2 linked regions of the Arabidopsis thaliana genome follow. The protein of the gene in region 1 interacts with the protein of each later gene in a pairwise test. Each region holds a gene or a part of one and is shown on either strand. Other genes may lie near its edges.

Region 1 (3,994 bases):
TAAAATTTGTGATTTTAATATGATTATGTATTTTATATAAAAGTTTGCAAATAATTTATGCATGATTGTCATTAAGTAATAGTATACTGCATGATAATTTTTTGTTTTATATAATCTCTACTAGATCAAGTTGATTTGATATGTCAGAAGGTGTTAAAAAATATTATTGATGGTGTTAAAAATAAATTTATTATGATTTTAAAGTTCAAGTGTGTGTTGATAAAATACTTAAAAGGATTTTGTTTTTTGATAGTCATGATTAAAATGTTTTTGTAATGTAGTTTGTTTTGCTTCGGAGTTGATATAGCTCAAATTGCCTTATGCTTACTCCCACAAATAAGAGATCGTTGTTAGCACTTAAGGGTCAAATTCCACTAAGCTCTCGTTGTTAACACAATAAACTTATGATGACTAATATTAAGCTAGACAAAGTAGATGAACCTAAAAGACAATAAAACAGTAAATTGAGTTGTAGGTTCACAAGACTTTTAAAATGGTTCACATAATATTAAAGGGTTTACAAGAGTTTTTAAAAGAATTTTAAATGGTTTACAATATGTTAGGTACATTAACATTTCAGTGTATATTATTGATTATATATTATATAATATTTGTACTTAACACTTTAAACGAAAATATTTTCTTTTTTAAAATGTGAGCTGTCATATTTTATATTTGAAAGAAAAAATATAAAATCTCAACAGTTCTAAAATTGAAAAGAAACCTTAAATCTAATCTGCTCAAAATGTTATTAAAGAATTAATAAAGGTAAGACATATGTTGAAAAACAACACATAAACGGAAAAATGAAACAATAAAAATAAGAGTATCACAAATCTCTAAATTTAAAAACAACATATCATTGTGAAAATAGAATGAAAAATATCACCATCATCAAACTGATAACAATAAAAACATAAATTGTGATGCAATCTATTACATGACAAAAAAACTGAAAGCTAATTATAAATTCACTTATCAATCCATTCTCGAAATTATTGTAATACCACATTAAATAAAATCCTAACGAAACCATTTATTATTGGAAATACTTAGAACAAGAACTATGTACGATATCGCTTGAGTTGCCGACATCAAGAGCGATGGAAGATTCTCCAGGGATATGATGTTGGTGCTCTTGTTGATGACGGTGGATGTGGTTGTGTTGGCTATCATCCATGAATTGAAACGCCATTTGCTCTCCTGGATACTTCATTTGCTCAAGATGGTTCATCATTTTCATAAACCATTGTTGTTGATTCTGATTGTGATTCTGATTTAAGCATCTCCATGTTTCCAATTAAGCATCGAAACATGACTTCAGTCATCTCGAGCTCCTTATTGTCCTTTCTTTGTCTCCTCAAATTCTCTGTCGGTTTCGCGATCCTTTGTTTGAGAAAACCTTCTTGATCTACCATCTTTTTGTGTTGATCCATTTCCGGGAGTGTCCTAAATTCGGAAACCACTCTTTGCACACCAGAATTTGATGGCCACACTTCATGACTGGTATCATACGGACTGTAGATGATCGCACACGATGTGATGCCACATAGAGTTGAGAGTTCATGTACTTTCTTCATCAACCCCTTCTTTCTTTTTTGAAAGTTGCTTTTCTTGAAGAATCGTTGGAAATGAAAGCAAGTTTCATTTTATTTCTCGTCATTAAAATGTTTTTTTGTATATTTTGAGATTGTTAATGTGTAGTATTATGTAGTACTGAGAAGGTACAAATATTTGTTATATAGGGTATCTTTATTTTAATACAAGAAAATATAAACTTCCAAATCAAGCTTTAATGCATGAACATTATAAAAAAAATCTGAATGGATTGAAGATAGAGATTATAACCGTTTTTCTTATTTACTACATGTATTATCACTACTGATTGACATATGTAGAACTATAGTCCAAATATTTATAGAGTGGTAACATCAAAACAATAAAATAGGATAAAATGTTTAGCTAGCAAATTTAGTTTTTAACAGCAAAAATCATCAATAAATATCAATCTGGTAATGTTATTTAAACATGATGCAACTAATATAATTATTTAATAATATATATAATTTTCAAATATTGTGATGATTAATAAGATATGGTATTAAAAGGTAGTCAAAGATTTGTTTCAAAATATTTTTGTGATTATTTCCCTTGCTGGAGACATTGAATCTCGGTTGTTGACTGGTAAATTAATCATGAACTATTTACCATATAGATAATTCTTTAAGAAATCAGTTTTTAAATCTCTTGATTTTATATATATATTAAAAATAGGTTAGCAAAATTACAATACCCATCGTAAAGTTTAAAAACTTCATAAGTAAAGGCATGTAAAACTAAACTACATTTCTTAAATGAAAAAAAAAAGTATAACGAGGGTGGTAAGTTGAAGGATAAAATGTTAACGAAAAAAGAATAAAATTTAGAAGAGACATGATGAGAAAAAAAAAATTGTATCCAACTTGTGATGTTATCAGAAGATTACAAGATCGCAGTCTAGCAAAATGTATATAAAACTATATTTAAACTCGCGGTATATCGGGGGAACAATTTATTTTTTAAATTAATATATATATTGTAAATTGTATCTATTTATAAAATATTTTTATTTTATAGTTTATAATTATTATTACGTAACGTCCTGCCAAACCCGTCCCGCCAACCTGTCCTGTAAAGAAAACTCATTTATTTTATTAATGTTGACCTTATTTATGATATGTTTATGAATTATTGTCTAAATATTTTGTAATTTTGTAGTAATTACATGCTATCAAATATCTCTGCGATTTGATGATTATAATCATGCAGAAAAGCAACATCAAAAATGATAATTTTGTAGTAATTAAATGATATTAAATATTTTGAAAGTTTTATTTTAGTAATTAATCGTGTAGTTAAGGTAGAAAGATTTTAAGAAGATTGTTAAATGTCAAATATTTAATTAGAAGATTTTCTTTCTAATTATCTAAAATAATTATTAAATGTCAGTGGCAGCCACTGTAAATAAATCCCAACTCCAGGATTTATTTTACAAAGTGGCTGCAAAAATGTATATGTAGATAATTAGAATAAACTAAGTGGTGAATGGTGTATATTATAAAGAACTTATAAATTGTTATGCAATTTAGTAAAATATTTACACAATATTTGGTGATGGTTTTTTACCCATTTTTCCTATAATTTGTGAAAGAAAAAAACAAAAAATGTTATGATATTCAATGTATAAGTTATTAATGGGACCGAATTGGCCTTGCCAGCATATTTGATTATTTTCTAGTCCTGAGATTTTGGCTAAACCGGGTTGTTCGGGTCGGGTTATTCCTTAACTTTTTTTTTTAACATCAATTTTTTCTTCTTTATTTATATTTCTTCTATTTGGATGATACATTTATTTTCTATCTCTCTGAACTTATTTGCTATTAACTTTTTGCAAAAATTAATTGAAATCCCTTTTCAAACTTCGTTGAGGCTATGATTTAAAATTTTAAAATATAACTTAAGACATATGTATGATTTAATAAAACGTATCATTCTCTTTGTTTATTTGATTATTTTTAAGTCATCCGCAATGCCTACAACAACGACGCTTGCAAAAAGTTCGTTTTCATCACCTCAAGATCTTTTTTTTTTGGTTTTTTATGTCTCCATAAATATATGACAATATTAGTATATTACTTACGTAATTTATCTTTTTATCTTCGTGTAATATATATTGTTTCTCTTCATCAATATCATTTTATTTATACTTTAATAAACTGGTACTGAGAGTGAGTACACAAAGACATAATGTCAGTGAGTGAAAGAGAGAAATTCCCCCGCTTTCTAAGGCAACTTTGCCTCAACAAACTTTCTTCTTTTTACCCTACACTTATTTTTCACGCATGCATACATTTTTAATAACAATGACGTGAGCCAAAATCGTTTATTCAACTTTTTGTTTTACATTATTACTATTACACTCTCCTCAATTTGCTTTTTGAAACATATATCAAGG
Region 2 (4,416 bases), on another chromosome or scaffold:
CAAAAATCTCACGCTGTATGTCATAATCTATCTTGTTGAGATCAAGTTGAATCTATATGTAAACCCGAATCTGAACGATTTCAATATTGCTAAATTTTGCTTTACTGCCATGTAAGATTATAAAACTCTAGAATTTTCTATTTTTCATCAACAACTTACACATATTTGATTTTAGATCGTATTAAAATTCAGATTATTACATGGAAACAGTATAACATAAACCACTAAATTACAAACCTGAGTCGAATGATATTGCTTTCATTCGATATATTATAAGGTCATATAGTAATTTATGTTTTCTTTATTTTTCATCTATTTGTCCCAATCGAAAAAACCTTCATATTCAAGTTCTTCATCTTTCAACCATCTTTGACGAATCATAGGTTTTTCTTTTCCACCATCTCCCAAGACCCGCCAGATACAAAGATCAGAATGGTCTCTCCGATCTTTAAATCATAGGTTAGATCCAAAAGTCAGTCAAAAAAAAAAAAAAAAACTAAAATACAACTTATACATAAAAAAATTTAACATCAAAACACCATTAAAAGGTGAGGCAACCACGGAAAAAAGGTAGATGCATGACATCATGAGCATTTCAAATGCCGAAAGTTATTAGGATTTAGCGAAGTATTGTTTCGAAGAACCACGTTATATCGTTCGAAAATAAAAAAAAAATTCTAATAGCACGAGTTTAAAGTTGAAACTACTTGATAACCAATTTAGGGAAACGAAGTATTTGAACTGTTGTTAACAATCGACTTCTAAGTTCTAATGACATAAGCTTCTTTTGAGTCGAAGCTCCTTTCCTTGAAATAGATAGACCCAGAATGTTTTTTGCCCCAGCTTATCACCAATGTTTTTGTGTTCTGACAATACTAATACATGTCTTGATCGACAGTTTCTTATTTTAAATCTCGTTATTCGTCTGTATCATTCTCATTGACAATTTAGTTCTTCGAATATTAGCGCTTCAGTTAAAAATCCTAGTTATCATATTTGCTATTTTATTGTGAAGATAGTACACAGTATACGATACAAACAAGTTGAAGAAACATACCTCCTTCAAACGTATATTTACAGCAAAAAAACTATATGAAAACATATTTCAATCCCTTTGAGTACAGTATATACCTAATTTCTATATGTACTATAAAAAGAAAAACCAAACAATACCTGTAAGTAATATGTCTTACAATATGTATATTCCTAGCTCAAAAGGTTAAAAACTACTAACCATTTAGTTACAACATAACAACCACATTTTCTATAATCTACACTATATAATTAGCTTCCGTTAGTATTAATTTTAGAAAGGAGCACGGTGTGGGACGCCCTTCCGTCTACTTGAATTCCGGTGATTATATATCGGCGGTGTCCCCGGAGAAAGTTTAAAACCGCTCTCATCACCGGAGCTCGAAGACGGTTGATCTCCTGACAAGTAATCACATTTAACGGTGGAGATGGAAAGACCACTCATCAGACGGTTGAAAGCACATGTCTTGCGTATCTTAGTTGGTGTAGTCGCTTCATCAGATTCCCACTCACCTTCGTACTCTCTTCCATGCTTCCCTCTCAAAGAGAAGGTTAGACTTGGATCACGCTTCATTCCTCCAAGCTGAAATAAACCAAACAAAAGGGCAATATGGTCATTTCAACTATACAGAGCAAATTCAGATATTCATTCAAAACAGAGGAAAACAGAGGAAAGAAGAGTTACTTTGCAACCGAGAGAGCAGAAACGGAAAGAATCGAGAAGGCTTCTGCAACAGATTTCACAAGTATTGGTGACTCCTTTGCCGATTCTTGGCTGAGGACGTTCGTTCAAGAAAACGATCCTTGCGCTGTTGATTATATATGTCTGAACACAAGATATGTCTATGTACTTCTGAATCTCGTTTACTCTCACAACGTTGTGGTACGATGATCTCCGTATCTGCAAGTAATGAAAATCCCATTTTCTTAACTCTGTTGGGTGAATTGGTAAGAGAGAAAAAAATGATTTGAAGTTGATGAAAGAACCTGGAGGACACGATGGTTTCTGTGATTGAGCAAACAGTAAGAGCAAAAGGCCTCAGAAGAACAGTCAAGACAGAACATGTTGCACTCGCTTTTGTTGGAAGCGGCGTGGATTGAACAAGGGATGAAGTAGTTTGCTCTTAGCATTGGGATTAGCCATGGTGGAGGATTTAGATTGTAGTTATCTTCTTCTGCTCTCATCATCATCGGTCCCTGAAGAATGTTTAGACCAGTTCCAAATGGTTAATATAAGAATTTGCAAAGAAACTAAAACAGAGTTAAGTAAGAAAGAGAATCAATCAATCACCATAGTTATTGTGAGTTTTGATAGCCAGCTTCAACAGTGAAGAAGAGCAGATTTGATTGAAAAGACTATGAGAGGATTTGAGTTTAGTGGGAGGAGGCGGCGGCTATAGCTGAAAAAGAGAAGTTGAGGTTTTTCTTGTTTTTTGAAGTCGGTCACGATAATACTCAATACGTTTTATAATTCACATGAAAATCATTTAATATCATCCCCTTTTTAAACTGTTTTTATATAGTTTTTTCTTTAATTACTTTTTTTGGCTAAAAATAAGTGTTCTCTAATTTTGCTTTAAAGTCTATGAGAGACACACGTATATTTTGTGCACATGTGTGGGTCTCTAGAGACCCCAGAAGTAAAGGAACTTAAAAAAAAAAGGTGGTGTTATTGATAATTTTGAATCATTATTGTTCACAAATGATGATAAATAATTTTATGTCGTGGTTCGCGACAAAATATCGAATTAGCCGACTATATTATTCGGTCCTACATAATTCCCAACGTAGGAAGATATTTTTTCTACCAAATTTGATTGTCTTAATATCTACTACTATTCATTATGTTTGTGATAGATTATGATATTCACATACATACGGATTATTGGAAGTATCATACGGCCATAGAAGAGAACTCTGAGTTTGGAATTTGGATGCTAAATTTTAGCTACAAGAAATAATTTGTTTTTTTCTTAAAATTTTAAAAGGTCAAAATTAGAAACACGTGGCTAGAGGTGAAGAGCCAGAGAGATGGACCGACACGAGAGGAGACAGAACCGAATTGGAGATTCTGGTGTGAACCGTTGGATTAAAAAGACAAAATCTTTTATAATGTAACGTGGCTCACGCTTTTGGCCCTTTTGGTAGTTCAACCCACATGACCAATCTTAGACCGTCGGATGAAGAAGTTGAGTGGACCGTACATAAGCCACCTCTTGAAATCGTAGGGTTCGAAAGCGTCTGTTACGTGCCAAAGAGTTCTTATCATCTAGTGAGTACTTTTCGCTGAAAGTGCTTTAAACTAGTTTCAAGATTGTGTGTGTGTGATCTAAACTGTTAGATTTTTACGGTCAAAGTGATATCTATATTAGTTGTACGGCTTATGTGTGTGTGAAACTGTTCACATATATGATCTCTTTAGGCTCAAACTGTTAGAAGCTTTCATTTTTTTTATCAGCTGTTGACAAAAGAAACTGTACATACTACTATTATCACCGTTAAATCCATCTTAATATTCATACTTGATAGCTTATATTGGGGGCTGGTAACGAATTAATGAAGCTAGAAAGATAGTTTCAATAGATATGATCAAAAAGTTTGCAATTAATTTGAGATTGCGGATGATATGTCGAAACTACGAGTAAGTTTTCTAGTCCCTACCCAAAAATTATGCAATAGAAGTATCTGTCTTCGACGTATTTTTCAGTCCGCTATCTTCTACATATAATAGAGTTTGAAAGTTAAGTCTTCCGGCAAAATCCAATAACAAGTATTTTTAAGTATCTTATCTTAAATGACAAGTAGTAAATAATCAACATAGATATATAATGTATTACTCGAGAAAGAGACCTGATATCATATTATATGGGATAAGAAACCTAAAGAGATAATAATAAAAAGAGAAGTGTGATCCACGTAATCAGATAGTAGCTATCTATAGAAAATTACACATAACAACTAATTGTTCAAAATGTTGGGAGAAAAGTCGACGAATCATCGTCTTCTTTTCTGCGATCTTATCTCTTTCAACTACACACAAAAGAGATTAGTTTTATTGTTTTGTTTGTATTCATAAAGTGAGTAAATTGAAAAATATCCCAAACAAATGTGGGAAGAAGAAGGTAAAGATGGGGCAATGCACTGTTGACCGACCTCAACAATAGTAGTCAATAGCACGAGACTCACGTGACCGTTGTGGTTTATTTGTGAAGAATCATCTTCACTTTTTAAGATGTCCCTTTAAAATGTTTAGCAAGTAGTGGCTAATACTACTTTTACGTAGGATTAACCAAAAAGGTATTACATTACAATTTTACAACAATGTTCAACTACGTTCACAACTCTACAGAGATACAATAAACACACAGGAGAAAACAGCTTCAG

Evidence for each region. Proteins that work in one complex are often made in the same cells at the same time.
Region 2: the proteins of AT5G27810 (region 1) and AT1G76590 interact in a two-hybrid assay, tested with the Arabidopsis thaliana proteins (one large-scale study listed by BioGRID).

What each region holds. Positions count from the first base shown.
Region 1 is NC_003076.8:9,853,413-9,857,406, reverse strand, and holds AT5G27810 (MADS-box transcription factor family protein), read right to left. Parts: upstream 1,737-3,994; 5' UTR 1,581-1,736; coding exon 1,221-1,580; 3' UTR 949-1,220; downstream 1-948.
Region 2 is NC_003070.9:28,738,785-28,743,200, reverse strand, and holds AT1G76590 (PLATZ transcription factor family protein), read right to left. Parts: upstream 2,662-4,416; 5' UTR 2,327-2,661; coding exon 2,324-2,326; intron 2,230-2,323; coding exon 2,020-2,229; intron 1,934-2,019; coding exon 1,718-1,933; intron 1,616-1,717; coding exon 1,307-1,615; 3' UTR 970-1,306; downstream 1-969.